Linked DNA regions of Pelodiscus sinensis. The protein of the gene in region 1 interacts with the protein of each later gene in a pairwise test. Links are inferred from orthologs where the notes say so. Each region holds a gene or a part of one and is shown in the gene's direction. Other genes may lie near its edges.

Region 1 (7,626 bases):
CTGTTGACTCATATTTAGCTTGTGGTCATATTTAGCACCGTGACTGCTACATCCCTTTCTGCAGTAATCCTTAGTAGGCAATCACTTCCCATTCTGTATGTGTGAAACTGATTGTTCTTTCCTAAGTGGAGTATTTGTCCTTATTAAACTTCATCCTATTTACCTCAGACCATTTCTCTAGTTTGCCCAGATCATTTTGAATGATGACCGTATCCTCCAAAGCACTTGCAGCCCCTCCCAGCTTGGTATCATCTGCAAACTTAATAATTGTACTGTACTCGCTATGCTATCATCTAAATCATTGATGAAGATATTGAACAGAACCGGTCCCAAAACAGACCCCCGTGGAGCCTTACTTGTTATGCCCTTTCATATGATTGTGAACCATTAATAACTACTCTCTGAGAATGGTTATCCAGCCAGTTATGCACCCACCTTATTGTAGCCCCATCTAGTTTGTATTTCCTTAGTTTATTGATCAGAAGATCATGCGAGACCGTGTCAAATGCTTTACTAAAGTCTAGGTATACTATGCCCACCGCTTCTCCCTTATCCACAAGACTTGTTATCCTATCAAAGAAAGCTATCAGATTGGTTTAACATGATTTGTTCTTTACAGTTACCTATCACCTGATTGTCTTCCAGTTGTTTGAAGATGAATTCCTTAATTACTTGCTTCATTGTCTTCCCTGGTACAGAAGTTAAGCTGACAGGTCTGTAGTTCCCTGGGTTGTTCTTATTTCCCTTTTTATAGATGGGCACTATATTTGCCCTTTTTCAGTCTTCTGGAAACTCTCCTGTCTTCCATGATTTTTCAAAGATGATAGCTAAAGGCTCAGATAACTCCTCTACCAGCTCCTTGAGAATTCTAAGAAGCATTTCAGCAGGCCCTGGTGACTTGAAGACATCTAATTTTTCTATGTACTTTTAACTTGTTCTTTTTTTATTTTAATTTCTAAACCTACCCTACTTCCACTAGCACTCACTGTGTGAGGCATCCAATCACCATCCATCTTCTTGACAAAAACCAAAACAAAAAAGGCATTAAGCATCTCTGCCATTTCCAAGTTTCTTGTTATTGTTTCTCCCTCTTCACTGAGCAATGGACCTACCCAGTCATTGGTCTTCCTCTTGCTTCTAATATTTTTGTAGAATGTCTACTTGTTACCCTTTATGTCTCTAGCTAGATTGAGCACATTTTGTGCCTTTGCCTTTCTAATCTTGCCCCTTCATACTTGCATCGTTTGCTTATATTCATCCTTTGTCATTTGTCCTAGTTTCCACTTTTTATATGACTCCTTTTTGATTTTTAGAACATGTAAGATCACCTGGTTAAGCCAAAGTGGTCTCTTACCATACTTTCTATCTTTCCCGCGCAGTGAAATAGTTTGCTTTTGGGCCGTTAATAATGTCTCTTTGAAAAACTGCCAACTCTCTTCAGTTGTTTTTCCTCTTAGTCTTGTTTCCCATAGGACCTTACCTACCAGCTCTCTGAGTTTACTAAAATCTGCCTTCCTGAAATCCATTGCCTCTTTTTTGCTGTTCTCCCTTCTACCATTCCTTGGAATCATTAATTCTATGATTTTATTGTCACTTTCACCCAAGCTGCCTTCAACTTTAAAATTTTCAACCAGTTCCTCCCTATTTGATAAAATCAAATCTAGAACAGCTTTCCCCCAGTAGCTTTTTCAACCTTCTTACCAAGAATTTATTGGATAATCTGTGCTGTGTTAGTTTTGCAACATATGTCTGGATAGTTGAGGACCCCCATCACCACCAAATCCTGTGCTTTGGATGATTTTGTTAGTTGTTTAAGAAAGGCCGTAACCACCTCCTCTGCCCGGGTAGGTGATCTCTAGTAGATCCTTAGTATGACACTAACCCTTTTTACTCCTTATAACCTAACCCAGAGACTCACCGGCTATGTCTAGACTGTCATGATTTTCCACAAATGTTTTTAATGGAAAAGTTTTCCGTTAAAAGCATTTGCGCAAAAGAGCGTCTAGATTGGCACGGACGCTTTTCCGCAAAAGCACTTTTTGCCAAAAAGCGTCTGTGCCAATCTAGACATGCTTTTGCGCAAAAAAGCCCCAATCGCCATTTTCGTGATCGGGGCTTTTTTGTGCAAAACAAATCTGAGCTGGACTTTTGCCCGAATGGGAGCAGCATAGTATTTTTGCAAGAAGCACTGAATTCAGACAGTAGGAAGTCAGTGTTCTTGCAGAAATTCAAGCGGCCAGTGTAGACAGTTGGCAAGTTTTTCCGCAAAAGCACCGGCTTTTGCGGAAAAACTTGCCAGTCTAGACACAGCCACCATGCCTGTCTTCTATGACCATCTCCACCTCAGTCCAACTGTGTACATTTTTAATATATAAGGCAACACCTCCTTTTTTTCCCGTGCCTATCCTTCCTGAGCAAGCTGTACCCTTCTATACCAGTATTCCAATTGTGTGTATTATCCCACCAAGTCTCTGTGATACCAACTATGTCTGTTTATTAGCACTTCAAGATCTTCCTGCTTATTTCCGATACTCCTTGCATGTGTATACAGGCATCTGAGATATTGATTTGATTGGCGGCCCCGGGCTGTGTGCCATTGGCGGTGGTTAGGCCGACTGGGCAGCGCATGCGCTGTGTGTCTGCCCACGTGCCCCGGGGGTGGGCCCGCGCATACGTCATGTGCCCGGAGGCTGGGCCGCATGTCCCGGGGATGGGCCCGCACATGTGCCATGCGTCCGAAGGTGGGGCCATGCATCCCAGGGGCAGCGCCAAGTGCATGGGACGCCAAAATGGCTCGCGCTGGCCACAGGTATCAGAGGATCGCAGTTCAAGTTGGCTGCAAATCACTGTTCATTGCCAATGTGAGCAGCAGGAAGCATTGCAGACCAGGACACCACTTCCCGCTGCTTGCATTGGCCATGAACGGCAATTCGCAGCCAACAAGAGCTGCAATCCTCCGATACCTGTGGAGGCTCAGGTAAACTTGGAGATGGGGGCCTGCTAGGGACTAACCCTGAGGACCGGATCCAGCCTATGGGCCAGAATTTGCCCACCCCTTGTCCAAGTCAATAATGAAAATACTGAATAGTGCTATCCATCAGTAAGGCTCTTGCTATAGTTCAAAGGCGGAGGTGCCCTTATCAACTAATCGAATAGTTGATGGAAATCCCCTCAACAATTTGATTAATTAAGTAATCTAATTTAACATCTCTAATTGGGCGTAGGCTAAAAAATGTGTCTTACCTTTGTTTTGTGAAGCATAATACAGTGTATTCAAAATGACACATAAATCATACAAATTTCAACCTACAATATAATGTATTTTATATAAGTGTGTAATAATACTGTACTGAATCGGTGTAGGTGGAAGGGATGGCCAGCACTGAGCTCATTACAATGTGGAAGCCTAATCAGTTGCAGCTTGCCTCCTTCTTGTGCTAAGCCTGGTTTACTTAACTGGTTCTGGACCTTTCATTCCATGTCCTAACTGTAGTCGTGTTAGTCTGGTGTAGCTGAAACAAAATACAGGACTATGTAGCACTTTAAAAACTAACAAGCTGGTTTATTAGATTATAAGCTTTCGTGGGCCAGACCCACTTCCTCAGATCAAATAGTGGAAGAAAATAGTCACAACCACTCAAAGGTAGAAAAGTAGTAAGAGAATCATTAGCTTTTATTATTATAACTCTGAATTAGATACTGAACAAAAAAGGTCCCACTCTCAAAGACCTTGCAATCTACATTCAAAGTGACAAGAGTGTTTCTGAGACTAAAAAATTAAATCCACAAATGATTTCATCCAATGATGATGCGGAGGTGAAGGCCAGATGCGCAACAGAAACTGTCTACAACACAGCAGCCAAAACAGCAAATGAAGTCCCTCCTCTAAGGAAGTGAAACCACAACACAACCGGAACACAGTAAGTGATGTAAACCATTTAACAGCGTATACTTAAAAAACCGATATGGACACAGAAACACTGACTCATGGCCACCCAGGCACTGAACGGAGAAGATAAAAGCAGGAATAAAGGAGGCAAATACATGATGGAAGACTGAAGACTCCGCCCATCTATTCCATCGAGAGTGAACAGGAATAGAAATAGGGCTAGGGTGGGTGCTACAGAGCATTCAGACCCTGACATGGGACAAGCTGTAGTTTTCGCTTTTGGCTCCTCACTTGAGATTATCCCATAATTCCGGCTATGGAGAAAGCCTCCCTCGCAGCAGTCACAACTGTCACACGCGTCCTCGTCAGCCCCGGGCCAAACCCGTACCTCAGGGCTACGAGAGTAGAAGGGCGCGACTCGGGGCAGTGCTCTGGCTGCGCTGTCTGAACCCCAGTTCGCTAACCCCGCGGGGGGGGGGGGGGAGGTACCGATGTACGCGCCTGGCTGGGTGGGGGCCGAGCGCCAGCACCGAAAACCGCACGTCCTGTAAGTCAGTGACAGAAACCACGTCAAGCCAAAGGCTACTAACGCACCTGGCAACCGGGGGCCCGGGCACAGCCTCCCCCCGCCCCCGCGCTGTGAGGGAAGTGGGGTCTCGCGCAGCCGAGCCAGCCCCTCAGGAGGCCAGTCACGGCGTGGGGGGGGAAGCAACGCAACCCTGCGGGCAGGGCAGGTCCCTTCTCTCAGCTCGCTTCCCCCCGCAGCAGACGCTCAGGGAGGGCGGGGCCGGACTGGGAACAGGAGCCTCTCCTAGCTGCCGAGAGGCTCCTTGCCCCCGCTCCTGCATAGTGTCACGGGACCGGCGCATGCGCACAGCCCGCGCTGAGCCGTTGTGTACCGCAGCCTCCGTCGTCGCTCCCTTCGCAGAGCCGCGTCCCCAGGAGCCGCCGATAGCGGTGTGAGACTAGCAGCTGCCGCCGCCTCGGCCCGGCCGGTGAGTGTCAGGGCGGGTAGCGCTCCCCCCCCCAGTTTCACTCGGGGCGGTATCACCCCCCGGCTCGCTCACCGCAGCCGCCCCGCCCGGAGCTGCCCTGTCTGGGCCCCTCCGGGTACGAGCGCGCCCGGCCCGGCCCGAACGGTACCTGCGGCTGCGCGGTGTGTGCATCAGCCAGGCACGGGGAGGGGGGCCAGGAGTAAAGGCCAGAGGGTCGCTGCGCGCACCCACCGGGACGGGCGAGGGAACGGGGCGTGTCCTTGCTCGTTACTGAAACTCCTGATCCTGCCCCTTGCAAGGCGGCCAGCCCCCGTCCTGGGCACCCTGGAGACACCGCGACGGGAAATCCTGCTAATCTCCCACGTTGCCCCCCCCCGCCCGAAATAAGACAGCTCTGGCTTGGGGGTCTGGGCCGATGGGCTCTCTGGTGATTTTTTTTTTCTTTTGTCTCTACTATGGTAACCTTTTATCTCCCCTTGAAACGCTCAGCGTCACTGGCATAGGTCTGGTATGCTTATCTAAGGGGGGGAGAGTCGTAGCAAGCAGTGGCACTGTACAAACTATTCAGTGTCCAGTTCAGTCTTTTGTGCTTAGTTAATGCTCTTAGTTTTTGCAAACTAAATCACTTTTACTTCTCCAATTAGTAACACAGATCTTTATCGCTAGGATGTTCACTGTTCAGACAAGTCCTGAGACTGAAACACTACTGTATCTTGGCTTCTTACTGTAGCAGTTGTTGAGTTAAACTATTTGGCTATGTCTACACATGGCTTCTTGGGTGAGTAATATGCAAATGAGGCGAATCGTGGAATATCGCCGAGCCTCATTTGCATATCTAATGAGCCACCATTTTTTCAGAAGAGGCTCTTGCGGAAGAAGGAGCGTCTAGGCTGCCCCTTCTTGTGCAAGAAAAACCCTCTTGCGCAATGCCATTACACCTATTACTTTTCAGGAAGAACGGCATTGCGCAAGAGGGTTTTTCTTGCACAAGAAGGGGCAGTGTAGACGGTCCTTCTTGCGCAAGAGCCTCTTCTGAAAAAAATGGTGGCTCATTAGGTATGCAAATGAGGCTCGGCGATATTCCATGCTTAGTCTCATTTGCATATTATTCGCACAAGAAGCCATGAGTGTAGACATAGCCTTTGAGATTTAGAGTTCTAATGTATGGATAAGTTGAACACTGTAGAACAGAGGGTGGGGAACCTAAGGCCTGGTTTCCCTCTCTCTCCCCCCTTTGCTCCCTCTGATAGAGACAGCAAAGGTGAGGGGAATTGACTAGTCCACTCCTATCTGATAAGCATAAGCATTTGATCTCTAGGGAATAGTAAACACCTTATGATGGCTTTGGTGGAATCAGTGAACTAGGTGATAAGTAGCTGGTTGTCCTTGGTCTATTGTTGGCAGTGGACAGATATTAGAGGTGAATCAATAAAATATATCCTCATAGTACTCTGCAGATCAGGTTTTGGGCTTGTTTTAATGAAAAGCTTTTTTAAAGTAGTCTAGCTCAGTTGCCATTTTCTTTCCTGTCTTTGAGTCACTTTCCCAATCCTCCTTTTTTAGTTTTTTCAACACTTACCAGCAGGCAAGATTCCATAAACAAAAATGGACTGAGTCATCTCTGTACAGAAATCAAGTCAAGCGATTATGTGGGAAGTCAGAATCCTTTTCTTGCTCAGTTTTTCTCTGATTTTAAGTAGCACTTATAAATAGGGTAGTGATTTCTGTCCATACTTTCATTTTAACTTATTAATCAACAAACTAGCTGCAAGCTATGAAGTCTGAGGTAAAAGTTGTCTGCTGTTACACAGTGTAGTGAATAGCTAATTGCAGTGTAGAGTTTTCTCAAGTTTTTTCATCTTGGTTGCTTTTAATATTTGTATAACTCTGACCATTTTATGACAAATTGCAGCTGCATACATGACTTTTCTTTAAATAAATGCAGGTTTCAGTCCGTTAGAATAACCAACATTACTAAGGATGGCATTTCTTTGTAGAATTTTCTTTAGAAGCTTGGACAGTGCCATTCAATGATTACTCATGTTGTGGTTGCAGTTAAATTATGTTTTAACTTATCGTTCAAATGTTTGTCAAAAGTCTGATTACATTATAAATAAGAGGCTCTCAAATCCTTTCATGCTCATTCTAGTAGCATGCCTCGCAGGCCATTCTCCCATCCCTTTGTGATTGCAGAGACTACTTCCCTTCCTATTTGTGATGAGATAACATTGCCCAAAAAAATTACAAGAAAGCCAATAGAGAATCTCAGCTTACTTGGTGCAAGCAGAAGTCTAAAGGATTCCCTGTATGAGTAACGATTTTACAGAATTATCGGTTAATCTTAAACAGCTATACACACTCCTCCCCCACTCGATGCATATGGGGATGCATAAAATCATACAGAAAAGAGGCATAATCATCAGGCAGGTGAAAGTGGCTGCCTGGGGGTACCCCCCCCCATCTGAGACTGCCCTATACCTAAGTCTCCTACCCCCAAGGTAGGGATGTGAACGACTAGTCGCAAATGCTTATCGGATAGTCACACACTAGTCGCTTCCCCCCTGCCTTGCAGAAAGAGGCAGCAAGGGGGTGGGGGAGAGGAAGAGCGGGCACTTTGAAGCAGCAGCACTGTGTGGAGCCCAGGGTCTGCCTCTTTGAAACGCCGTGTGCAGTCTTGGGCCAGCTGGAGACTCCACAGCTAGCCTCAGGCTGCATGTGGCGTTTCAAAGCGGCAGTGCCATG
Region 2 (7,301 bases), on another chromosome or scaffold:
GACAGGGAGAAAGAGAACAGCATTTATCATTTAAATGCTGATTTTTTTCAGCCAGTGAATTTACAGGAGCATAAATAAGGGCAGAACTGGAAGCACTCAGCTCCGATCCAAGAAAAATCTCATTAAAAATCCCAGCCTTGATTCACAAAAGGAGCCAGCCATTTTCCAGGCTTAGTCTCATGTTCTTTTCCAGGATTCTAATTTTATTTTTAAGTATCTAGTCCTGTTTAGCCAAAATATTTCAAGGATAACTGAGGAAGTTAATGAATAAGCGACTCAGGCTGGGATTTGATTCAGGGGCAAATCTGGATGACGAAGAGGGTATCAAATGAACAAAGTTTTACTCAAGTTTTACTCAACCTGTGGAACTCCTTGCCAGAGGATGCAGTGAAGGCTAGAACTTTTACAGGGTTCAAAAAAGAGCAAAATAGATTCATGGTCCATCAATGGCTATTAGCCAGGATGGGTAGGAATGATGTCCCTAGCCTGTTTCTCTGGAAATGGGTGACAGGGGAGGATCACATGGGGATTTCCTGTTGTGATCCCTCCCTTTGGGGCATCTGGCATTGGCCACTGTTGGCAGGCAGGATACTGGACTAGATGGATCTTTGGTCTGACCCAGTATGGCCGTTCTCACGTTTATTAAATTAGTTATTTTTAAATGGTCAATGACAATAAATGACCTTTATTTAGGTGGGCCATCTAGAGTTTGTATAGTCTCCATGAGTGCAAGAGTCACTCCACACAAAAACACTGACCTTTACTGTCCCATCATCGCTGCCGGTACAGACAAGCTGGGGTCCCCGCCTCGCAGGATAACAGGAATTAACAAATGACGTGTGCCCCTTCAACCTTTTCACTCTCTCTCCAGTCTCACTGTCCCACACCGCCACCGTTTTGTCCGTGGATGCTGAGAAGAGCATGCTGGCGGAGGGAAAAGGTGACACAGCTATGGAATCCTGAAGGGTGATAAAATATCTGCCCCAATCCCTTTTGTTACTCTACAAACACCACTCAGACTCCGGCTTGGAAAATTAAGGGGATACTTGCTAGCTAGAAAATTAAGGTCAATATTCAGAGGCTGTTGCCAAAAGATGGCGTGGGGTTTTGTGGCAGGACCAAGGAAGGGGTAGTATAATGATGAAAAATCCCACTTTCAATGTACCCCTCAATCCAGTTACTGAAGGGGGTGTCTGCTAGCTGCCTGTAGGATTTCATCTTCTTGACCCTGCTCAGGATGATGGGGGAGGGGGAGCCATCTCTTTTGTAAAAACCTCAGATAGCATTGGATAATCTGGAAAGCTGCCAACATCGCCTTCCTAGTTTTCCTTTTCTTATCCTGAATTGTTCCTTCGTTGTCTCTCCCATCCACTTTCCCACAGATTCACTTGCTAGGGGCGGGATGGGACGGGACGCCTGGCTTTAGATCTGCTTCCCATCCATGAGCCTTGGAACTTGCCACTTAGGTTCTACTCTTTGCTCCTGCACTCTACAACAGACGTAGCGTGTGGAGCTATTTCTGGGAGGGGGAGCCATTCAAAGAGCACCATTGCTTTTTCTCTTCAGAGCCACCAGGTGAGCACTGAAGCAATGAAGAGGAGCTGTAAAGCAACTTACATTCACCAGCAGCTAGTTCCCCACTTGCCAGTTGCAGGTACCTTTTACAAGTTTTATCCAAAGGTTACTGGCTTCATCTAGCAGCTTTTCATACCAACTCTCTCCCCAAACATTTCACAGAGTTCATTTGGAAACATCATCAAGGTAGGCTAATGACAGCTCAAGTCAGTTTCATCTGATATTTACCTGCCATCAGTATTATAGTGCAACTCCATAACTGCTCCACTGTGTCCCTTCAGAGTGGCATAATTATCACAGTCCCCATACACATTCCATAGCACTGGAAAGAAACCAAATACACATAAAACTATGTTCTACGCCCACATCATCACAGCTACACTTCCTGGGCTCACTAAAATGAAGCACTTACAATATTCAGCATAATCGCCAAACTCTCATTTTAAATAGGTTTTTAAATATGTGGAACAGAAGATGTGAAAGTTCTCCTCATCTGGGGGAAGGGTAGGGAGGCCCATGTCTCCCCATGGCCGCCACCCTTATTAACTTGTTCCTCAGCTGCCACTTGCCAGGCCAGCTGCTGCACCATCCCTGACAAAGTGCAGGGAACTTCGCTTCTCTGAGCGCCCCATCAACAGACAGAGGCGGTTGGTTAATAATGTGTTCCACAACCCGAGTCATATGAGCAGTAGGATTTTAATCCTAAATGTGAGAGTTACTGGCTAACTGATTGCTATAGGGCCTGAAATAGGAGAACTCAGCAAGGGAAAGCAAGACCAAGGATCACACTAAACAGAAAAATCTGCATCTTAATTTATTTATTAATGAAGCCGCTAAAATGTAAATAGGACTATTATTGACTTCAAAAAGTATCAGTGGCACACAGATCCATAAATAGAAGTGAATAAATTAAATCTTGGCATGTCACATCTGAAAGGTTGACAATCCCTGCCCTAGTACATTCTTAGGTTGAACAGCATGTTGTTGCAGTGAGTCCCAGAGGTTAATGATCCATTGTGTAGAAAAGTATTTCCTTTCAACAAACCTGAATGTCATCTTTGCTCCTGTATTATGAATAAGCATAAATAGAAACATCTGTTTTAACTCTTCTATACCCTTCATTTTGTATCCTTCTTAAATGTAGAGAGCTGACAGATTAGATGGGATATGAAAGGAGTCCCACATCAAGCTGTCCTTATGGAGAAGGATTTCTCATCCCTTTATAGTCCTGTATGGCTGTGCAACCCATAACTACAGTGTTGCAGTTAAATCCATATTCATACAAACAGGAATCCAAAATGTATATCTGCGTTCATAAAAATGAGTCACAGATATCTGCATCCACATCTGTGGATGTGGATACCAGGGGATATAAAGCAGATATCCATGGATTTGCAGAGCTCTAACTGTAACAATACTATGTGGCTTCTTACAAGAGTTAGGGTATGTCTACATTACCAAGTTTTGTTAACAAAATGTATATCAACACCCAAAAATTGATAAAAACAAAAATTGCCTAGAGGGTGTTCACACTTGCTCCCTCTGCTGACAGAGCATGTTCACGCTGAGGGCACTGTCATTGACAGTGTGAGCAAAGCACTGTGAGTATGTATCCCACAGTACAGTGTTGTGAGAAAGCAGAGCTGGGGGCATGGCCTGGCAGGGTAAGCAGGGGTCCACGGACTAGCAGTTGGGAACTGCTGATTTAGGGCATTAAAGAGGTTACCAACGCTTTTGAAATATGCTCAAAAGCGCACAGCTCATTACTGGCCTGCTGTCAACATTTCACCCCATTGCTCTCAGCAGCTCAGTCACTCCATTGCACTTGAATGAATGGAAAGCAGTTTACACCAGCAGTGTATTATTATTATTATTATTTTTTAAACAAACCACCCTCATAGCACAAACTACTGATCATTACAAACTCACAGATCAGTCTGTCAAATCCTGCAGATGCTAAAGTTGCTCCATTAGGGTGAAACTTGCAACAGTAAACTTCTCCTTCATGCCCCGAGAGCAGCATTATAGGTGCCTGGAGGGAAGAACAGCGTGGAGGGCCCTAAAACACAGAGGGAATGCAGACAGAAATGAAACAGAATAATAAATAATGAGCTAATGAAACCTCTGAACCAGAAGGTGGACGGTGTGGGGGAGCAGGCCAGAAAACACCCCCCCTCCCATAACTCCTTCACTAGTTTTAACTCGGGTCATATTTCCACTTTTCTGACACACACAAAATAATAATAATGGCAAAGCGCGTCTCACACCCCGCCCGCCACGGGCCCCACCTCCGATGGGGAGGCGGAGGCCCCGCGCAGCAAGAGGCCTGGTCTCGAGTCACACCAAGGCCGGTGTCAGTTCAGCGCGGAGGCTACGAACGACCCAAAGAGGCGGAGCCACGTTGCGACAGGAGTTGAGCGGCCCCCCCCGGCCCGGCCCCCGCCCCTCCGGGGAGCCTCGGGGTCACCGCCCGCGGGGGACGCGGCCCGGCCCATCCCGGGCCCCCCGCGCTCACCGCCTGCAGCAGGGCCCCCGGGGGCGGCGCCCCGCCCGGGCCGGGCCCCAGCAGCTCATGCCGGGGCCGCTTGGCCGCGGCCGCCACCAGCGCCAGCTCCGGGACCGGCCCCTTGCGCTTCTGCGGCTCGATCATCCCGGCCCGCGGCAGCCGCTCGGCCTCGGGCGTCCTGCAGCGCTAGGCCTCGCTCCGCCCGCGCCCGGCCCCCATTGGGCCGCGATGCCGCGCTCTGATTGGCTGCGAACGCCAAGCGTGCTGATTGGGCAGCGCTGGCCATGCTGGCTAGGGGATTCGCCGGAGAGTTCTAGCATCGGGCGCGCCCATTGGCTCCGTAAGTACCCCGCGCGAGTATGCCGTGCCGTGATTGGCGGGCGCAAGCTTCCTCAGCTCGAAGGGACCGGGGTGCAGGTGGGATGACGGCGGCCGCGGCGCCCTTGAGCGGGTGAGGGGGCGGCGCGGCCTCAGCCCCTTCCCCTTCCCGCGCTCGGCAGGCCCCGCTCGCGGTCCGGGCTCGCTGCTTCTGCCCGCGGGAGCCGCTGAGCGTCGCGTCCAGGCGCAGGCCGGGCCCTTTGCGCGCCCGCTGGCGTCAGGCCTGTGTCCCGGCGCGAGCGGGTTCCAACCGCCCGGGGCAGCGGCGGGAGAGCCGGCCGGGAGCCCGGTGGCCCCTCGCAGAGCGGGGCGGGGAGCCTAGAGCGGCCCCCCCCGGCCCCTCCCACGGGTACACAACCTGCCCCCCCCCCCCCCGGCTCTGGTGCGCGAGGGGGATGTGGGGAGCCCAGCAGTGAGGGGTTGTTGGGTTTGGGGCCGCTCATCTCTGTGCGGCTCCCGACTGACTCTTTCCTGTGGGTCCGTGGCCGCCACCCCCCCCCCAAAGTTCCACACTCCTGTTAGAGTCACCGATTTATTTTGGCGTAACCTCTCCTGAGTAAAAACCACTTGGTCAGCTGCGTGGAGTCTACAAGGGGCCACAGGACTCTTCATTTTCCCAAATACAGACTAGGGTTACTGACTGTGTTTAAAGTTACAGGCTAACGCAGCTACCCCTCTGAGGCCATCGGCTACCCCTGTGAAATAGGAATGAAGTGTCTGTGAGGCTGAATTCTGAGAATAGGGCAAAATTGGCTAGTTATTATCCAGAGCCAGTTTATAGTCACGTGTTCATATTTTGCTGTATCTGCCTAGGTACTTGAATACTTAGTGTTTTTGAGGTACTCTTCTGACATACCCTACTGCAGAAAGCTCTTTGAAATATATCATAGCACCCTTTTATCCAGGGAGAAACTGAGGCATAAAGTTTAGTAACTTGCTCATAATTGTACTGAAAGTTATTGGGAACTGTATCATTGAAGAACTCGGATTGTCTGTTTCCTCAACTTGTTCTCTATCCACTTGATTACACTGCCATAACGTATAGTGTGAGCACAAGACACTATGGACACATCTACACAAAAGTCGAATTAAGCCACGCAGCTTCAGCTATGTCAATTGTGTAGCTGAAGTTGAAATTAGGGATGTTAAATATTGATTAACTGATTGAATAGTTGATGGGATTTAATTGATAAGGACTAGTGCACATTCCACCTTTGAAATGTACAAGAGCACCAGTGGGGGCTCTTGGGCATTGTAAAGAGGAAGCATCTCATGGAGCCTAAGGTCAGTGGGGGACTCGGAGTCCACCCCAGGCTCTATGCAGCATTTCAGTCTCTGAAATCCACAAGAGCCCCTACTGGAACTCTTGAACATTTAAAAAAGAAAGCACTACTGCTGCTGTGCCCCGCCCCATCCCATGGAGCTGGAGCTGGGGGGAACTGACTTTTAAGCTGGCTCCCCCCAGCGCCCTTCCTCTTCAACCCTTTGTTGCCTCTTTGTGATAGCGGCAGCGAGGGGAGAGGGAGAGGGAGGAGGAGTGACTAGTTGACTAATGTGTTGACTATCCGATAAGCTTTTGCTTATCAGGTAGTCAGTCGCTTACATCCCTAGTCAAAATAGCTTAATTCGTCTCTTGGCGCTGTCTACACAGCAGGTAGACGAAGGAAGAACTCTCTTCTTTTGACTTCCTTTACTCCTTGGCTGTGTCTACACTGGCACCCTTTTCCGTAAAAGGGATGCTAATGAGACACTTCGGAGTTGCAAATGCCACAGGGGATTTAAATATCCCCCACGGCATTTGCATGAACATGGCTGCCGCTTTTTTCCGGCTCGGGGTTTTGCTGGAGAAAAGCGCCAGTCTAGACAGGATCTTGCGGAAAAGGGTTTATTTTCCGCAAGATCCCGTCTAGACTGGCGCTTTTCTCCGGCAAAACCCCGAGCCGGAAAAAAGCGGCAACCATGTTCATGCAAATGCCATGGGGGATATTTAAATCCCCTGCGGCATTTGCAATTCCAAAGAGTCTCATTAGCATCCCCTTTACGGAAAAGGGTGCCAGTGTAGACACAGCCCTTGTGAAATGAGGGTTACAGGAGTCAGAGTGAGAAGTCTTCCAGCTCGCTATTATTTCGAAATAATGTCTTGCTGTGTAGAAGCGTATTTGGTTATTTCAAAATAACATCACTTATTCTGAAATAACACATCTGTGTAGACTTACCCTATGGTATCAGATATTTAGAAATTAGTGAGAGTGAAAGCAGTGCAGATAAAAACCATCCCTGAAAAGTTTTCCCAGAGTTTATTTCTTTTATCACTAATGAAGATATTTCTTTCAATAAATGGTGTCTTTCTTTATTTCAGCTACGAATAGGGTTGCTCCACAGCAATAAATGGGACATCTAATACATGGAAACAAAGTAAGCTATAAAGGTTGGGAAAGAATTGTGGAATGCATACTCTTAGAAAACTTCCCAAATGAAGTCTGTGAGACCTGAGGCAATGGAGACTTTACCTGAACTCTATGATGTCTTCCAAGGAGAGGTATGTGTGGTGTTGCTTAGGGTCACAAAAGAAGCGTGGGAGACATGAATGGTGCAAGATACTGAGAGATAATAGAGAGCCTTTCATTTTTAAATCTTCAGTTCAGAATCAACCCTAGATACAGGCAGTAAAACTAAGTGACCAATGTAAAATGAGCTTGTGTTGTGTACTCTGGTTCATAGAGAGCAAATGTCCACATCACAAAACCCACTACTGTCACAGCTGTCTCACACTGACCTCCTGTTGGCATTCTCGGTAGAGCGTTTAAAGAATATGTAGGTTAGAGAGAGAGAAACGGAAATG
Region 3 (6,860 bases), on another chromosome or scaffold:
AAAACCTCCTTCTTCAGAAGAGCCCTTATTCCTCATGAAATGAGTAAGACAGGACTTCCGAAAGAGCGTGTCTGCTCTTCCACAAATAAAAGCGGAAGAGCAGATGCATTCTCTGGACGTTCCCTGGTATCCCGGAAGAACCCGTAGTGTAAACGTAGTCCAAGTCTCCACATCCACAAGATGCTGGCTTTTACTCCTTCTGCTTGTAATAGCAAATTGCCACTATTTTATCTGGGCAAAAAGCCACCCTTGAAACATGGACATCTCCTACTGGTAGCAGGTCAGGCAGTTGCGTACCAGAGAAACATTGTCTCTATAAAAATCAGCACCTGTCAGTTCTAGTTGATCGATACCTGATAGCACAAGGATGGAATTGCACATGGAATATGGGACACACCAAGAAATCTTTATATCTCTCATAATTAGATACAGCAACAGTGTTGACAAGGGGCATGACATCCATGATGTGGAACTCAACTGCTGTGGTCATACCCTGTCAAGTAAGGGCTTATCTACATGGGAAAATGTAGAAGCATAACCAGAGCAGTATAATTCTATCAGAACAGTTATGCTGGTAAATTAACCATTTAGACAAGCACTTAGGCTAGACCAAGATAGCTAAGATCTGGTCTACACTTAAAAATTTATAGTCATGTAGCTCCGTTGTTCAGTAGCTGTGAAAAATTCACACCACTAAACACTGCAGTTAAGCTAACATATGTCCTTACCTCAATGAAAAAATAATTCTTCTTTCAATTTCTCTTCCACTCTGAGAGATAGATTACATAAACTGAAGAAAAAGAACCCTTTTGTTGTAGTAAGAAATGTCTGTGTCAGGGATGGGGAAGATACGGCCCGCAGGCCAAATCCTGCCCACCAAGGCATTTGATCTGGCCCACAGCCTGCCCTCCCATGCCCCCGTCTCCAGGCCAATTGAGACCCAGGAATGGGGGAATGCACAAAGTCATTCGCTGTTCAAAGCGGTTGGTGGGATTTGCCAGCTTCTCAAAATGGCTGGTGGTTCCTCTAGGCATCATGTGCCCCTGACAGGGCAAGGGGCAAAAGACTTTGCATGCTCTCCGATTGGTCTGGGGATGAGGGAGCATACAAAATTTCCTCCTCCTGTATTGGGTTGTGGAATATCAGGTGCTGGGTCACCTTGCTGTAGGATAACCAGGTCACCAGCAGGGGTGCTAAGGCAGGCTTCCTGCCTGTCCTGCCTAATGGGAGCTGGGGGAGCGGTGCCAGCAGGTGAGAGCAGCACCCACAGCCACAGTCACTTGCGCACCTCCACCTACGAGACAGACTGGTTGCTGGCTGCTTCTGTGTCCATAGTGCCAGGACAGGGATGGAGCCTGCCTTAGCACCCCTACTGTGCTGCTGACCAGGAGTCACCGGAGGTAAGCCCATGCCCCAGTTCCCTGCCCTCATTCCTTCCCCACCTGGAGCCTCCTTATACACTCCAAACCTCCCATCTCCAGCTCCACCTTAGAACCTGAACTCTAGTCAAAAGATAGAATTATGATAGGTTGTGGGCATCAACAATTTTCTTGAACTGGGTCATGAGAAAAAAAGTTTGAAATTGACTGCATTAGAATGGTGGTAACAAATTCGTAACTCTCTGTATTACAGTCTTACCACTAGAAAAAGACAAAGATCCACATAGCGTTAGTGGGAGCTGGACAAGCATGTGCTTTGGCCCAGTTATCTGAAAAGCAGCATGGTAAAGTCAGCCCAGTCAGCTCTGGCCCATCTTCTTTCTATGATAGGTGAACAATAATAGCTGCTTCTGAGCTCTGTAGATTTGGCTACTCAACTGTGAAATGCAGCAACAGTGAGGCTGTGTCTAGACTGGCAAGTTTTTCCGCAAAAGCAGGTGCTTTTGCGGAAAAACTTGCCAGCTGTCTACACTGGCCGCTTGAATTTCCGCAAAAGCACTGACGATCTCATGTAAGATTGTCAGTGTTTTTGCGGAAATACTATGCAGCTCCCATTCCGGCAAAAGTCTTTTCTGAAAAACTTTTGCGCAAAAGGGCCAGTGTAGACAGCAGAGATTTGTTTTCCGCAAAAAAGCCCTGATCGCGAAAATGGCGATCGGGGCTTTTTTTGCGGAAAAGCGCATCTAGATTGGCCACGGACGCTTTTCCGCAAAAAGTGCTTTTGCGGAAAAGCATCCTGCCAATCTAGATGCTCTTTTCTGAAAATGCTTTTAACAGAAAACTTTTCCGCTAAAAGCATTTCCGGAAAATCATACCAGTCTAGACGTAGCCTATGGGTGCCAACAGTCCTTTATTACAAGTAAATTCCCTTATTTTTTCATCTCTGTACAAGATCATGAGTTGCTGAGTGCTGCCAAATGGAGCAAGAAATACCCCTGGGCTGTGTCTACACTGGCCGCTTTAATTTCTGCAAGAACACTGACTTCCTACTGTCTGAAATCAGTGCTTCTTGCGGAAATACTATGTTGCTCCCGTTCGGGCAAAAGTCCTTTTGCGCAAAGGACTAAGATTTGTTTTGCGCATAAAAGCCCCGATTGCGAAAACGGCGATCGGGGCTTTTTTGCAGAAAAGCGTCTGAGTCAATCTAGACGCTCTTTTCCGCAAATGCTTTTAACAGAAAACTTTTCCGTTAAAAGCATTTGCGGAAAATCATGCCAGTCTAGATGTAGCCCTGGTGAATGCAGGTAAGTACTGTTTGTTATTAACATTAACACTAACAATGATAATATTGCAGAGACAAGTGACACAGGGCTGCTAAGAAAATAGTTCCTTATTTTTTAAATACGTTGGCAGCGCTACATGCCACAGCCCTGTAGTACATGCAATCCCTGGAAGCAGTGGTGCTGGAACAGTTTTTATAGTGTGTGTGTGGGAAGGGTTACCTGGTAGGCTCCCCAAAAATACCGGACACACTTGATCGTGGATGGGGGTGGGGGACCGGCCGGGAGGGATGCAGGAGGCAGGGCTGGCAGGGGGGAGGGGGCGGGTGCAGCCACTGGCCACAGCCAGAGTCCAACAGGCCGCACCTCCAGCAGGCACTCCCTCTAGTTGCTGGCAGAGGCCAGGTGGGAGCAGGGGAGTGGCCGGGAGCCCCTCTCTCTGCCCAGCTTCTGCACACAACCAGAGGCTCCCAGCTAGGAGGTGGGGCCAAAATCGGCACAGGGAGCCTCTGGTTGTGTGCAGAAGCCGGGCGGGCGGGCGGGGGGAGGGCGGGCTGGGAGTGCCAGCCACTGTCCCCACCCCTCCCCGCCTGGCTTTTGCACGCAACCACAGGGCTCCCAGCACCAATCGCACCCCACCTCCCAGTCGCTCCCCTGCCCCTGCCCCTGCCCCTGCCCCTGCCAGGCTTCAGTCCGGTGCCCAGACGGAAATTTAGGAAATACCAGGCATTGCACGTGTCTGGTATTTTCTGAATTTTTCTACACCCCAAGTGTGTGTGTGTGTGGGGGGGTAAGAGCCACTGAACCAAGCTGCAAATCCTGCACAGAACTGAAACCAGTTCGAGACGCCCAGTGCCAGGGGATGGGGGTGGGGGGCGGCTGTGGCAGCGCAGGAGGCCTGTCCCTTGCAGCCAGAGGAGCGGGAAGGAGCAGGATGCACCGCGAGCAGAAGAGCTGAAGGAAGGGCCCCACTAGGGGTTCAGGGGCCTCGCCTGGGGACACTGCGTCCACGGGTGGGCTCGGGGGCCGACCTGCAGCAGGCAACCCCTACACCAGCCCCCTTTCAGGTTGCCTCAGGAGTAATGGCCGCCAGCGTCACGTGACACGCTGTGGCGGGCGCGGGGGTGTAATTGTGACCCAAGTCGCTTTCCATAGTAGGCGAGGCGTAGCTCAGCCCACGTGCCTGTGGGGAACATCTATTTCCGGTGGCAGCGAGACCCTAAGCGGAAGTGCTGTTGCCTCACGGCATGTAGTGGAGGCGCAGATCGAGGGCAATAAAGCGACCGTTCCGCACCACGTGTTCAGACGCCAACCAATGCTGAGCGGCGGCGAATTGGCTCGGTAGGGGCGGGGCGCGCGGGTGACCTGGAAGTTTCCGCGCGCCAAGTCACATGGAAGGGGCGGGGGCCCACAGAGCCCCGCCTAACCTGGCGTCCCGGCCGCCAATGAGAGCTGCGCCCGCGGGTACAAAGCGGAAGTGGGGGGTGCGGGGTAGAAGTGCGCGTGAGCCTCTGCTCTCTCTCTCTCTCTCCTCCCCCCCGGCTGGTGCTGCCGCAGTGCCAGAGGCCGGGCGCGTGTGCACTGCCAGCGACGCTCCTTTCTCCCAGCAGCGGGTAAGAGCCGGACGTGGCGCGCGCGCGCCGCTCCCAGCCGCGGCGGTAGCTGGCGGCCGCGCGGGGTCGAGCCGCCCCCTGAGCCGGGCTCCCGCGGGGGGGGGGGAGGGAGGCTCTTCGCGCAGCCGGGCGGGGACTCTGCAGCGGCGGCCCCGCTGGCACGTGGGCAGGGCCGGGTGTCCTCGGGGCCTCCCATGCGGGCTGCTGTGGGGCTGCCCAGAAGCACGTGCGGCTCCGGCAGCCTTTGCCCCGGTTCCCCCTTGTGGGCCTCGGGGCAGTGCGGCTGCCTGGGCCGCTCCGCGTGGGGCAAAGTCCCTCTGGCCCGTGTTCCGCGGCTGCTTCATGGCTGGGCAGCTGCTGGGACTCCTCCCTCCCCCCCCCCCCCCCCCCCCCACGTGTGCCCAGCCTGCTGGGAAAAGCTGCCTCTTCTCCTTGTTCTCTAGTAACCCCTCCCAGACCCAGCCCGCTATGGCCGACGACATCGACTTCACCACTGGAGATGCGGGTGCTTCTTCCACCTACCCCATGCAGTGCTCTGCGCTGCGCAAGAATGGCTTCGTCGTGCTCAAGGGACGTCCTTGCAAAATTGTGGAGATGTCGACCTCTAAGACTGGAAAGCATGGTCATGCCAAGGTAAACAAGACTCACTCTCAGCCCTTTCCTGTTGGGCTTGGAAAAACTCCTTTGTACACTTATTTTTATACAAATAACCTCTTTTATATCTACAGCTACACGGAGAGCGCGAGCACACAAATCACGTGTCAAAGTCCTTGGATACATTTCTGGTTCTTCCAGTTATGGCATTATTATGTACATAATACCAGTGTGCCGGTGCTTCAGGGTGAATTTTCTGAACTACTTAATTTCAGTTTTACAGCAAAAGGGTGAACAGTTGGAGTAATATGCAAAAGCACACGTGCATATTGCCTGGGGAATCTTGAAACTTACATGGGGCTGACCACGCTTTATGAACTTTGTGGAAGCGCTCTGAGAACATAGCTGGATTACAGACTAGACCTGGAGGGAATCTGTTTTGCATTGAGGACCACTGACCCACAGAAAAATCAGTGAGGAGCACACATGAGAAGTGTGCCCCCCCTCCCCCCAAAAAACCCCACACCTTCTCTAACATGAGGGGGGCCAGGCTTGGAGATTCTGTGCTTTAGCCCCACAGGAGTGGTAGGGGGAAGAAGGGCACATTCAGTCCCCACTCCTGGACCAGATTTTTCCTAAATAAATATTTGGAAAATGTCAACTAGTACTTGTTGACAGCCTATGGGAGACAACTGAAGGTGTCCCTGATATATTAAATAGGTTTTGGGTCTTTCCAAGTGGCAGTTTAGACAAGGGTCTAGAATTAAGGTGCTGTGTGGAAGAAGGGCTCAGAGGTGGGGGGGGAGGGGATTATGTAAATGGCTTGCCTAAGACATATTTTGCACTAGTCCTTAGTATGGCTTCATTAGATTCCTCTATTTCTAGCTAACAGCCAAGTATGTCACCTAGAATAGTGGTCAGGAGCATCCACATCAACTTGATGTTCTGTGTTTGAAAGCTAACTGGCAATTACAACATGCTAGTTGAGTATTTTAAGTCTTCAGTATAGTTTCATACCTTAGTTGTACAAGCCTATGTATGTCTGTCTACTAAGCAATTGAAGCTATCAGCAATTGACTACAGATGCAAAAAAGACCTATAGTCAGGAATGGGAGCAATAAGGAAATCCATGAATTTATGGAGGTGCACACTTACTGCTTTAAGATGGGGTGGGGAACTGAGGGCCCCAGGGCTTGTCTGACTTTATCCCCTGAGGCTGAGGGCTCCCCCTATCTCCCTGAATTGGGGAGACCATGAGGCTGGAGCACATAAATGTACTAGGTAGGGCCCACTAGGCTCTGGTGTGTGATAGGGATATAGAGTAGTTGATTACCCAATAAGCCTAAGCTTATTGGGTAGTTGAGTTGACTACTTGAGTTTCTCTTCTCTCCCCCCCCCCCCCCTTTTTTTTTTTTTTTTTGCTGCCTAATAGAGGCAGCAAGGGAGCTCCCCAGCACAGTCTGTGTTCGGGGTGGGGAGGACAGGCTCTGTGGCTCTGCCTTTTGAATGTAATAAGAGCCACCTGGCTCTTAATACATTTAAAAGGCAGAACTGCAGCACAGGACCCGGTTCCTACTACCTTTAAACTGGAGAGCTGCAGTAGCCCCTTAACGACTAACTAATCGTGTACTAGATACAATTTGTATCTCGTACATAGTCATGTGTGCAGCCCCTGACTGATTTTTTTTTTTCTGTGGGTCAGGAGCCCCTGATCCAAAAGATTACACATCTGCTTTAAAAAGCTGAGGGTCTGATTACAGGCCTGGTCTACATGTGGTGAGTGGGTTGACCTTGCTATGTCTTCCAGGGCTGTGTTGTATTACTTGTATTAATGGGAAATCTCTTCTGTTTCAGGAAGCATGTGGTATATGTGACAGCTGTGCCACTGTAGTGTGGACATACCTGCCTTTATTTTTTGTCACTTTTTTGATAATTTCTTCAGGGCATCTTAGCTGCTGGTGGGCATTGAAGAAATTAAGACCAGTTTTTAAAAA
Region 4 (7,146 bases), about 61 Mb from region 1:
TATAACCTGCCAGCAGAGGAGACGGAGGAGCATTAGGGCTACAGCTGGTGCTTCCATCTCCCGCCCCCCAAGTGCAAAAGACAATGGCTCCTTCCCAGGTCCCATGGATCCCTGCCCCAGACTTGCTCACGACAGGAGAACCATTAACGCTGGGCAGCGACTCATGGGGAGCTCAGTTCCTGGGGCCACAGACGAGGGGGGTTCACTTCCCGCCTGCTTGCTGCCCTGCCTGGGATTAGCTGGGCAGCACCCAGAAGCAGGCAGGGCAAGGGAGACTATCCCAGCCCTGGGCCCTCCCCCTCACAGCCCCCTGCCCTGTCAAAGGGGAGTCAAGCCAGCTGGGGCCCTTCTGCCTCGGCTCCCCTGGAGCCATCATCCCAATGCCTGTCCCCTGCGCTCTTCCCCCTCCCCGAGAGCAGCTCTTTTGCCTCCCACCGACCGGGCTGGCTGCCCCTACCCACTTCGAGCTGCAGTGCAAAAATGGGCAGAGCCGAGATGCCGGGGCAAGGCAGCCAAGCCGCCTGCACCATGTGTCCAGCTGGTTCCATCGACAGGGGCTCTGGTGCTGCTCCTAATATGCACAAGAAACGGGGCTCGTATCCCCACAGGCCTCCCGGCAGGGATGTGCATGTACCGCGCGCAGAGGCTGCGCGGACCAGCTCCGGGGCTGGGGAGCGCCCCAGGGGTAGGAGGAAGCCTGGGAGGTTTGTTGGCAAAGCGGACAGACATGGTGACCTTCAAGGCCCACCCCCAGGACCCTCTTTGCAGGAAAGGAGCCAGCTAACGAGGGGCGGGGCAGCTACGGAAGACTCCAGCTGACACCAATGCAATTGGTGGCCACAGGGACCCAGCAGGGCCTGCAGCCAGTCACCGGTCTGACCAGGCCGCATGGTTGCCCCCTGTCCCCGCTGTGCCGTACGACCGGATCATGCCAACGTCTCTGCAGAGGGAGCGGCCCCATGGCAGGTCAGCACGTGCGCCAGCACTTGCCGGAGCGGGGCCTTGGATGGCACACACTTTGGGGCACGGCCCCCTCCCTCCTCCTGGTCTGTCCAGCCCAACCCACGGAGAGCCCTCCCGCGGCAAAGAGCCACAGCGACACCTGATGGTGACAGGAGTCCAGCGGCGACAGATCCAGGCGCCTGGCTTCAGCCAGGAATCGCTCGTCCCCGGTCGTCATCTCAAAAGGAGCAGGGGGGAGTCTCCTCGGGTCCGAAGCAGGTGTCGGGGGAACAGGGTCCTTTTCTGGAGCGGCGCCCTGCCTCAGCCAGCCAAAAAATCCAGAGGAGGGAATGACGAGGAGGGAGAGGAGGGTAGGAAGGAGGAGAACCCGGTGAGCCAGGGGCAGCATCTTGGGGCATGGAGAGGGATCCTGCAGGGAGAGAAGAGACAGAGTCCCAACGGAGAAGAGCCCAGGGAGTTCCAGCTACTGGGCAGCAGCGTTACAGCCAACCCCCTGCGCCCCGCACCGCTCCCTGACCTCCGATAGCTCAGCCTGGCTCTGTTAATATAGCAGGTCCCCCTGCCTAGGCGGGTCGGCACAGAACAGCTCTAATGAGCACCGTATTGAGCTGAGAGCGTGGCCCAACCAGGAGCAGGCTAACCCCTTCCAACTGGAAGAAGTGAGTGAATAGCACCAGCCTGACGTGATAACAGCTGTGCCGAGATCACGGCCTGCCACACCGATCCCACCGTCTCGCTGTTGCCTGGTACTCCCTGTGTGCGCCCACCTGTGACCTCATCGCATGCTTGGATCAGAAGCTCATTGGGAAAGGGATGGTCTTTTTCTTCTGTGTTTGGGCAGCGCCTAACAACGCCACACCTGCTATGTCTACACTGGCGGCTTCTCGTGCAAGATCACGTCCACACTGCCATGTACGAGCTGTGCTTTTGTGCAAGAGCGCCCATGGCAGTGCGGACGCTCTCTTGCACAAGAAAGTTCTGATGGCCATTTTAGCCATAGGGCTTCCTTGCGCAAGAAATCCCTGCCCAGCATCCACACTGCCTTCTTGTGCAAGAGCCCCTGCACAAGGGCTTACACCTGTTAAAAAAAGAGCGTAGCTCTTGTGCAAGACGCCCTCTCTTACCACGCCGTACTGTAAATGTCCTTGCACAAGAGCGGGCGGGCAGTGTGGACGCTCTGCGGATTCTTGCGCAAGAACGGCTGTACTTGTGCAAGAAGCCACAAGCGGAGACACAGCCCTCGGGTGCTACAATAATACAAACACCGCTGATGTTTGTGTGAAGGGCTCATGAGTCCTCCTGGGTTTCCTCCGGCATCTCTGAGAGGAAGGAATGATCCGATTGCTAGAACACACCCAGAGGGCACAGGCCTCATGGAAACTTACAAAGTTCCACTTGGATGCATGCTGGACTGATCAGTCTCCATGGGCCACACATGAGCATGCAGCTGCCTTGTGTCTCCGGTGTACAGAACCAGAAGCTGCTGTGGCCCTCCACAAGGTAACATTAAGGCACATTCTCTAGATTTTTCTGCAGCTGGTTTTAAGCAGGGAGCCAGGCTGCAAGGGTAGGAGCCTGGAGTGGTTAGGGCCAGTGCTGTTGCATACATACCTGTCACTGCAGCTTGCATTTCACCCCTTGGACCGTAACAAAACACTTAAAGAGGAAAAGCCCCCCAGGAGCAATTGAGTTAGGCTTCCGGGTCAGGTCCTGTTCCCCAACCAAGACAGGAGAAAAGGTCTCCTCCTTCATCCACTGTCGGGCTCAATTAATTCCCTTAGGCTGCATCTAGACTGGCAAGTTTTTCCGCAGAAGCAGTTGCTTTTGCGGAAAAACTTGCCAGCTGTCTACACTGGCCACTTGAATTTCCGCAAGAACACTGACGATCTCATGTAAGATTGTCAGTGTTCTTGCGGAAATGCTATGCTGCTCCCGTTCGGGAAAAAGCCCTCTTGCGCAAATGGACCAGTGTAGACAACGCAGTATTGTTTTGCGCAAAAAAGCCCTGATGGCGAAAATGGCGATTGGGGCTTTCTTGCGCAAAACCGTGTCTAGATTGGCACGGACACTTTTCCGCAAAAACTGTCAGATCCTTTCTATCCGAGGGCAGCACACTTCCGGGGGTAGCGCCATGCATTCAAACGTTGCTCCTGACTTTGGCCATCATGAAGCCAGACAAGAGAGTCTTATCAGAGAAGCCTTTCCCCTCTCTGAGTAGGGAACAGCCACAGAAAGGGATGTGAGGAATGGATCAGACCAGCCAACACGCAAGTTCAACCACATGAAATGAATGTGTCTGTGGAAAGCATTTTCCAAACCCCAATCTCTGTTGGTTTTGCTGCCTTTCAGGCCAGAAGGTGCCACGTCAGCACGTTGTACATTGTAGCTCAAAGGCCCTTCCATCTGACGCTTTGCGGTCAGATTTGTTCATACAACCCATGCACCATGGGGAAGACCATTCATGTTTCCCAGAAAGGGAAACTGAGGCCACAGACTGTGACGGACCTCAGAACAAAACCCAGGTGTTCCTGGCTTGAGCCACCAGATATTGGGGGGTGGGGGTGTCTCTGGGGCCTTTGAACAGCCGTGCCACGGCCCCTCACAAGAAAAACAAATCTGGTTGTGGAACAGAGCTGATCTTTGGATGCAGAAGCAGACACACCAGGTCCTACCTGGGGGGGTGCAGGGTCTGGGGGCGCCCTAGGGGCCTGAATTCACATGCCCACCGCAGAAGGCCCAAGCCCTGACCCTGACCCTGCTCCGCCCCCAGCAACCGGCCCAGGAGATGGGGGGGGGATAGAGGGGGCAGCTTGAGTGACAGCTCGCCTGGGGCCCATACACAGCCCAGCTGCGGACACAGCTGGCAGCAGGGCGGGGGGAGCTGTGTGTGGGCGCTGCTGATCCCAGATGACTAGGGGGGGGGGGAGCAGCCAGATGCAGCGCTGCCAGCCTGGAGCATCCCTGCGCTGCGAAGGCAAGAGGAGAACGGAGACCACGCCCCCACCAGGACCCCACGTGGGGCGGTCACTCACCTGACTCCGCCCCTGGGGAGAAGCGCCTCGTTCCCCCGGGCGCTTATGAATCCGGCGCCCGATGACGTCGCACGCGGCGGCAGCCAATCCGGAGGTGAAGGCGGGGTGAGGCCGAGCGGAGCCCGCGACGCTGGGGGCGGGTCCGGCGGTAGCCACGTGGTGGGCGGGTCACGTGGGAGAGCCGGCTGGGATGGAGGCGCGCGGGGAGCTGCGGATCGGGTTCGTGGGCGCCGGGCACATGGCCCAAGGGGTGGCGCAGGGCGCGGTGCGCGCAGGTAGGCGCGGGGTTTGGGAGAGCCCCGCCCCCCTCCTCTCCCCTCCCCCCCCACCCCACCTGCTGGGGGTCCCTGGGTAACCAGCCCCCCCTTCCCGAGGGGAGCCCCAGCAGAGGGTGCCTGGGTAACTAGACCCCCCCCATCCCAGCTGGGAGCCCTCGCCGGGGGCCCTGGGTAACTAGACCCCCCCCCATCCCAGCTGGGAGCCCTCGCCGGGGGCCCTGGGTAACTAGACCCCCCCCCCCCATCCCAGCTGGGAGCCCTCGCCGGGGGCCCTGGGTAACTAGACCCCCCCCCCCCATCCCAGCTGGGAGCCCTCGCCGGGGGCCCTGGGTAACTAGACCCCCCCCCCCCATCCCAGCTGGGAGCCCTCGCCGGGGGCCTGGGTAACTAGACCCCCCCCCCATCCCAGCTGGGAGCCCTCGCCGGGGGCCCTGGGTAACTAGACCCCCCCGTCCCAGCTGGGAGCCCTCGCCGGGGGCCCTGGGTAACTAGACCCCCCCCCCCCATCCCAGCTGGGAGCCCTCGCCGGGGGCCCTGGGTAACTAGACCCCCCCCCCCCATCCCAGCTGGGAGCCCTCGCCGGGGGCCCTGGGTAACTAGACCCCCCCCATCCCAGCTGGGAGCCCTCGCCGGGGCCCTGGGTAACTAGACCCCCCCCCCCATCCCAGCTGGGAGCCCTCGCCCGGGGGCCCTGGGTAACTAGACCCCCCCCCCCCATCCCAGCTGGGAGCCCTCGCCGGGGGCCCTGGGTAACTAGACCCCCCCCCCCATCCCAGCTGGGAGCCCTCGCCGGGGGCCCTGGGTAACTAGACCCCCCCCATCCCAGCTGGGAGCCCTCGCCGGGGGCCCTGGGTAACTAGACCCCCCCCCATCCCAGCTGGGAGCCCTCGCCGGGGGCCCTGGGTAACTAGACCCCCCCCCCCCCATCCCAGCTGGGAGCCCTCGCCGGGGGCCCTGGGTAACTAGACCCCCCCATCCCAGCTGGGAGCCCTCGCCGGGGGCCCTGGGTAACTAGACCCCCTCCCCCCATCCCAGCTGGGAGCCCTCGCCGGGGGCCCTCACACCAGAACCACCCCCCACCCTGCTGGATAAGCGAGTTCCCATGCTACAGGCCCCCCCTTCCCCTCCATGGGGGTCCCTCTGCAAGCAGCACCTGCCCCAACACAAGGGCCCCCCCCCCAACTCGTGCCGTGCTGCTGTGTAACCCTGTGTCTCACCCCGCAGAAGACATCCCAGTTCTGGGCAATGGATCCCTGTAGAACCAGCCCCCTGCATCCCACCCCACGGGACAGCTGCAGCTGGGTGCTTGGTGAACGAGCCCCTAGAAATAGCTGCTGTGCCCAGCAGTGGAGGCGCCTGCGGTCCCGAGCCCTGTCCCAGTTATGGCTCCTAGGGGCTGAGGGATCTCTGTAAGGCCCTTGCCATGCTCCCATCCCAGAAGCGGCTGCGGGTCCTTGCTGTGCGATAAGTCGTTGGCTCTCTGCTCAGGCCCAGTTAATCAATGACTCTGGGATCCTAGGGCGGGGAGGCCACAGAGAGCTGTCTGGCTGTTCCCACGATACCTGCCGCACAGGTGTGCGTTTTACCAAGGCCATTCCAGGCCTGCTGCCACCACTGCCCTCCTGTGGCAAAAGGAAGTTCCCTGCAATCGCCTGGCATCGCTGCCCGCAGCGCGCATAGCCCGTGTGCCCTGGTTAGCTGCCTGCCTCTCCGCCCTTCCGCGGCCGTTAGGAATCTCACGCTGGCTGGTGGGCAGCTAACGCTGGGCACGAACAGGCTTGGAATTGGGCCTTGGTACGAGTCTCTAGTCTGAGCATGTTTGAGGCATCGCAGGATTCTCTCCATGCCCCTTAAGCAGCGGCTTACCTCTGCTCTGTGTTTTCAGGAAAAGTCAAAGCTGCCAACGTCCTGGCCAGCGCGCCGTCCGACAGGAACTTGGGGGCCTTCAAGGTGAGCGAGGGCAGGGCATTGCAGGCTGCCCGGGAAAGGTCAGGCCTCTTCCTGAGGACTGGAAGAGCTAATAGCATCCTGGTGTCCAGAAACGGGAGGCAAAGGCGATAACGATGCTCGAGTCCACTTGCTTGTGATCCCAGCAGATGTGCAAGCTATTGAGTTCCTCTCCGGAACACCTGGGTGCCCTGGGAAATGGGGCTGGTGAGCTATGGTGGCTTTTCCCTTTCTCTCACTGCTCATCCTCAGTCCAGGTCCACACTGGCGTAACACATGTAGCTGGAGTCTGCTTACCTTCAGCCGAGCTTAGTGCCAGTCCCCGTCGTCTTCCCTCGCGACTGCGAGTATCAGGGCTGACTAGGGATGTGAACAGCTCGCTGACTAGTCACTTCTCCCTCCCTTTCTGAAAGAGGCAGCAAGGTGGGGGAAGAGAAAAGTGCTTCAAAGTGGCAGCGCCACGTGGAGCCTGGAGCTGCTGCTTTGAAACGCCACATGCAGAGTCAGCAGGGGAGGGGGGGGCTCCACTTGAAATGCCATGGGGCCAGTGGGGACTGCTTGACTGGGCTCGTGATCCCTGTAGCGCTTTCGCCTTTGAAATGTAGCAACTGCCCTGGGGTTGTTGCTACACTTCAAAGGCGGAAGCGCCCTTATCGAGTAGTCCAGGGGTTCTCAAACTTTGTAATACTGCAACCCCCTAAAATTCTACATGAATTTGTGTGACCCCCACCCCATGAATAAAGGGGGATTTGGGGGCAGCGGGGCTGGCCGGGGGAGATCGGGCAGGGAAACCGGCCAGCGGGAAGCAGGGGTGGCGGGGGGAGGAAGGGAGAGGTTGGGTACATTGGGGCTGGCCGGGGAAGATCAGGAGGAGAAGTGGGGGAGAACCAGTCGGCTGGGAGGGGGCAGGGAGAGCATGAATTGGC

The links.
Region 2: the proteins of SDCBP (region 1) and ZCCHC17 interact in binary tests that used the Homo sapiens proteins (3 or more experiments, as listed by UniProt). The two-hybrid records come from large-scale screens. The link is inferred for Pelodiscus sinensis from reciprocal best matches to the Homo sapiens genes SDCBP and ZCCHC17.
Region 3: the proteins of SDCBP (region 1) and EIF5A2 interact in binary tests that used the Homo sapiens proteins (3 or more experiments, as listed by UniProt). The two-hybrid records come from large-scale screens. The link is inferred for Pelodiscus sinensis from reciprocal best matches to the Homo sapiens genes SDCBP and EIF5A2.
Region 4: the proteins of SDCBP (region 1) and PYCR3 interact in binary tests that used the Homo sapiens proteins (3 or more experiments, as listed by UniProt). The two-hybrid records come from large-scale screens. The link is inferred for Pelodiscus sinensis from reciprocal best matches to the Homo sapiens genes SDCBP and PYCR3.

The regions. Positions count from the first base shown.
Region 1 is NC_134712.1:63,002,399-63,010,024, reverse strand, and holds the start of SDCBP (syntenin-1), read left to right. Parts: upstream 1-4,624; 5' UTR 4,625-4,884; intron 4,885-7,626. UniProt on the Homo sapiens protein: Multifunctional adapter protein involved in diverse array of functions including trafficking of transmembrane proteins, neuro and immunomodulation, exosome biogenesis, and tumorigenesis.
Region 2 is NC_134735.1:17,394,978-17,402,278, forward strand, and holds the start of ZCCHC17 (zinc finger CCHC domain-containing protein 17), read left to right. Parts: upstream 1-4,281; 5' UTR 4,282-4,421; intron 4,422-4,433; exon of another isoform or gene 4,434-4,532; intron 4,533-4,996; exon of another isoform or gene 4,997-5,272; intron 5,273-6,818; 5' UTR 6,819-6,932; coding exon 6,933-6,998; intron 6,999-7,301. Other genes in the region: SNRNP40 (U5 small nuclear ribonucleoprotein 40 kDa protein), read right to left, coding at 759-924, 1,804-1,897, 3,505-3,634, 4,091-4,225.
Region 3 is NC_134720.1:39,206,329-39,213,188, reverse strand, and holds the start of EIF5A2 (eukaryotic translation initiation factor 5A-2), read left to right. Parts: upstream 1-3,841; 5' UTR 3,842-3,974; coding exon 3,975-4,000; intron 4,001-4,114; exon of another isoform or gene 4,115-4,272; intron 4,273-4,715; coding exon 4,716-4,905; intron 4,906-6,860. UniProt on the Homo sapiens protein: Translation factor that promotes translation elongation and termination, particularly upon ribosome stalling at specific amino acid sequence contexts.
Region 4 is NC_134712.1:2,161,555-2,168,700, forward strand, and holds the start of PYCR3 (pyrroline-5-carboxylate reductase 3), read left to right. Parts: upstream 1-4,133; 5' UTR 4,134-4,185; coding exon 4,186-4,270; intron 4,271-6,158; coding exon 6,159-6,223; intron 6,224-7,146. Other genes in the region: protein brambleberry-like, read right to left, coding at 1-6, 1,103-1,351.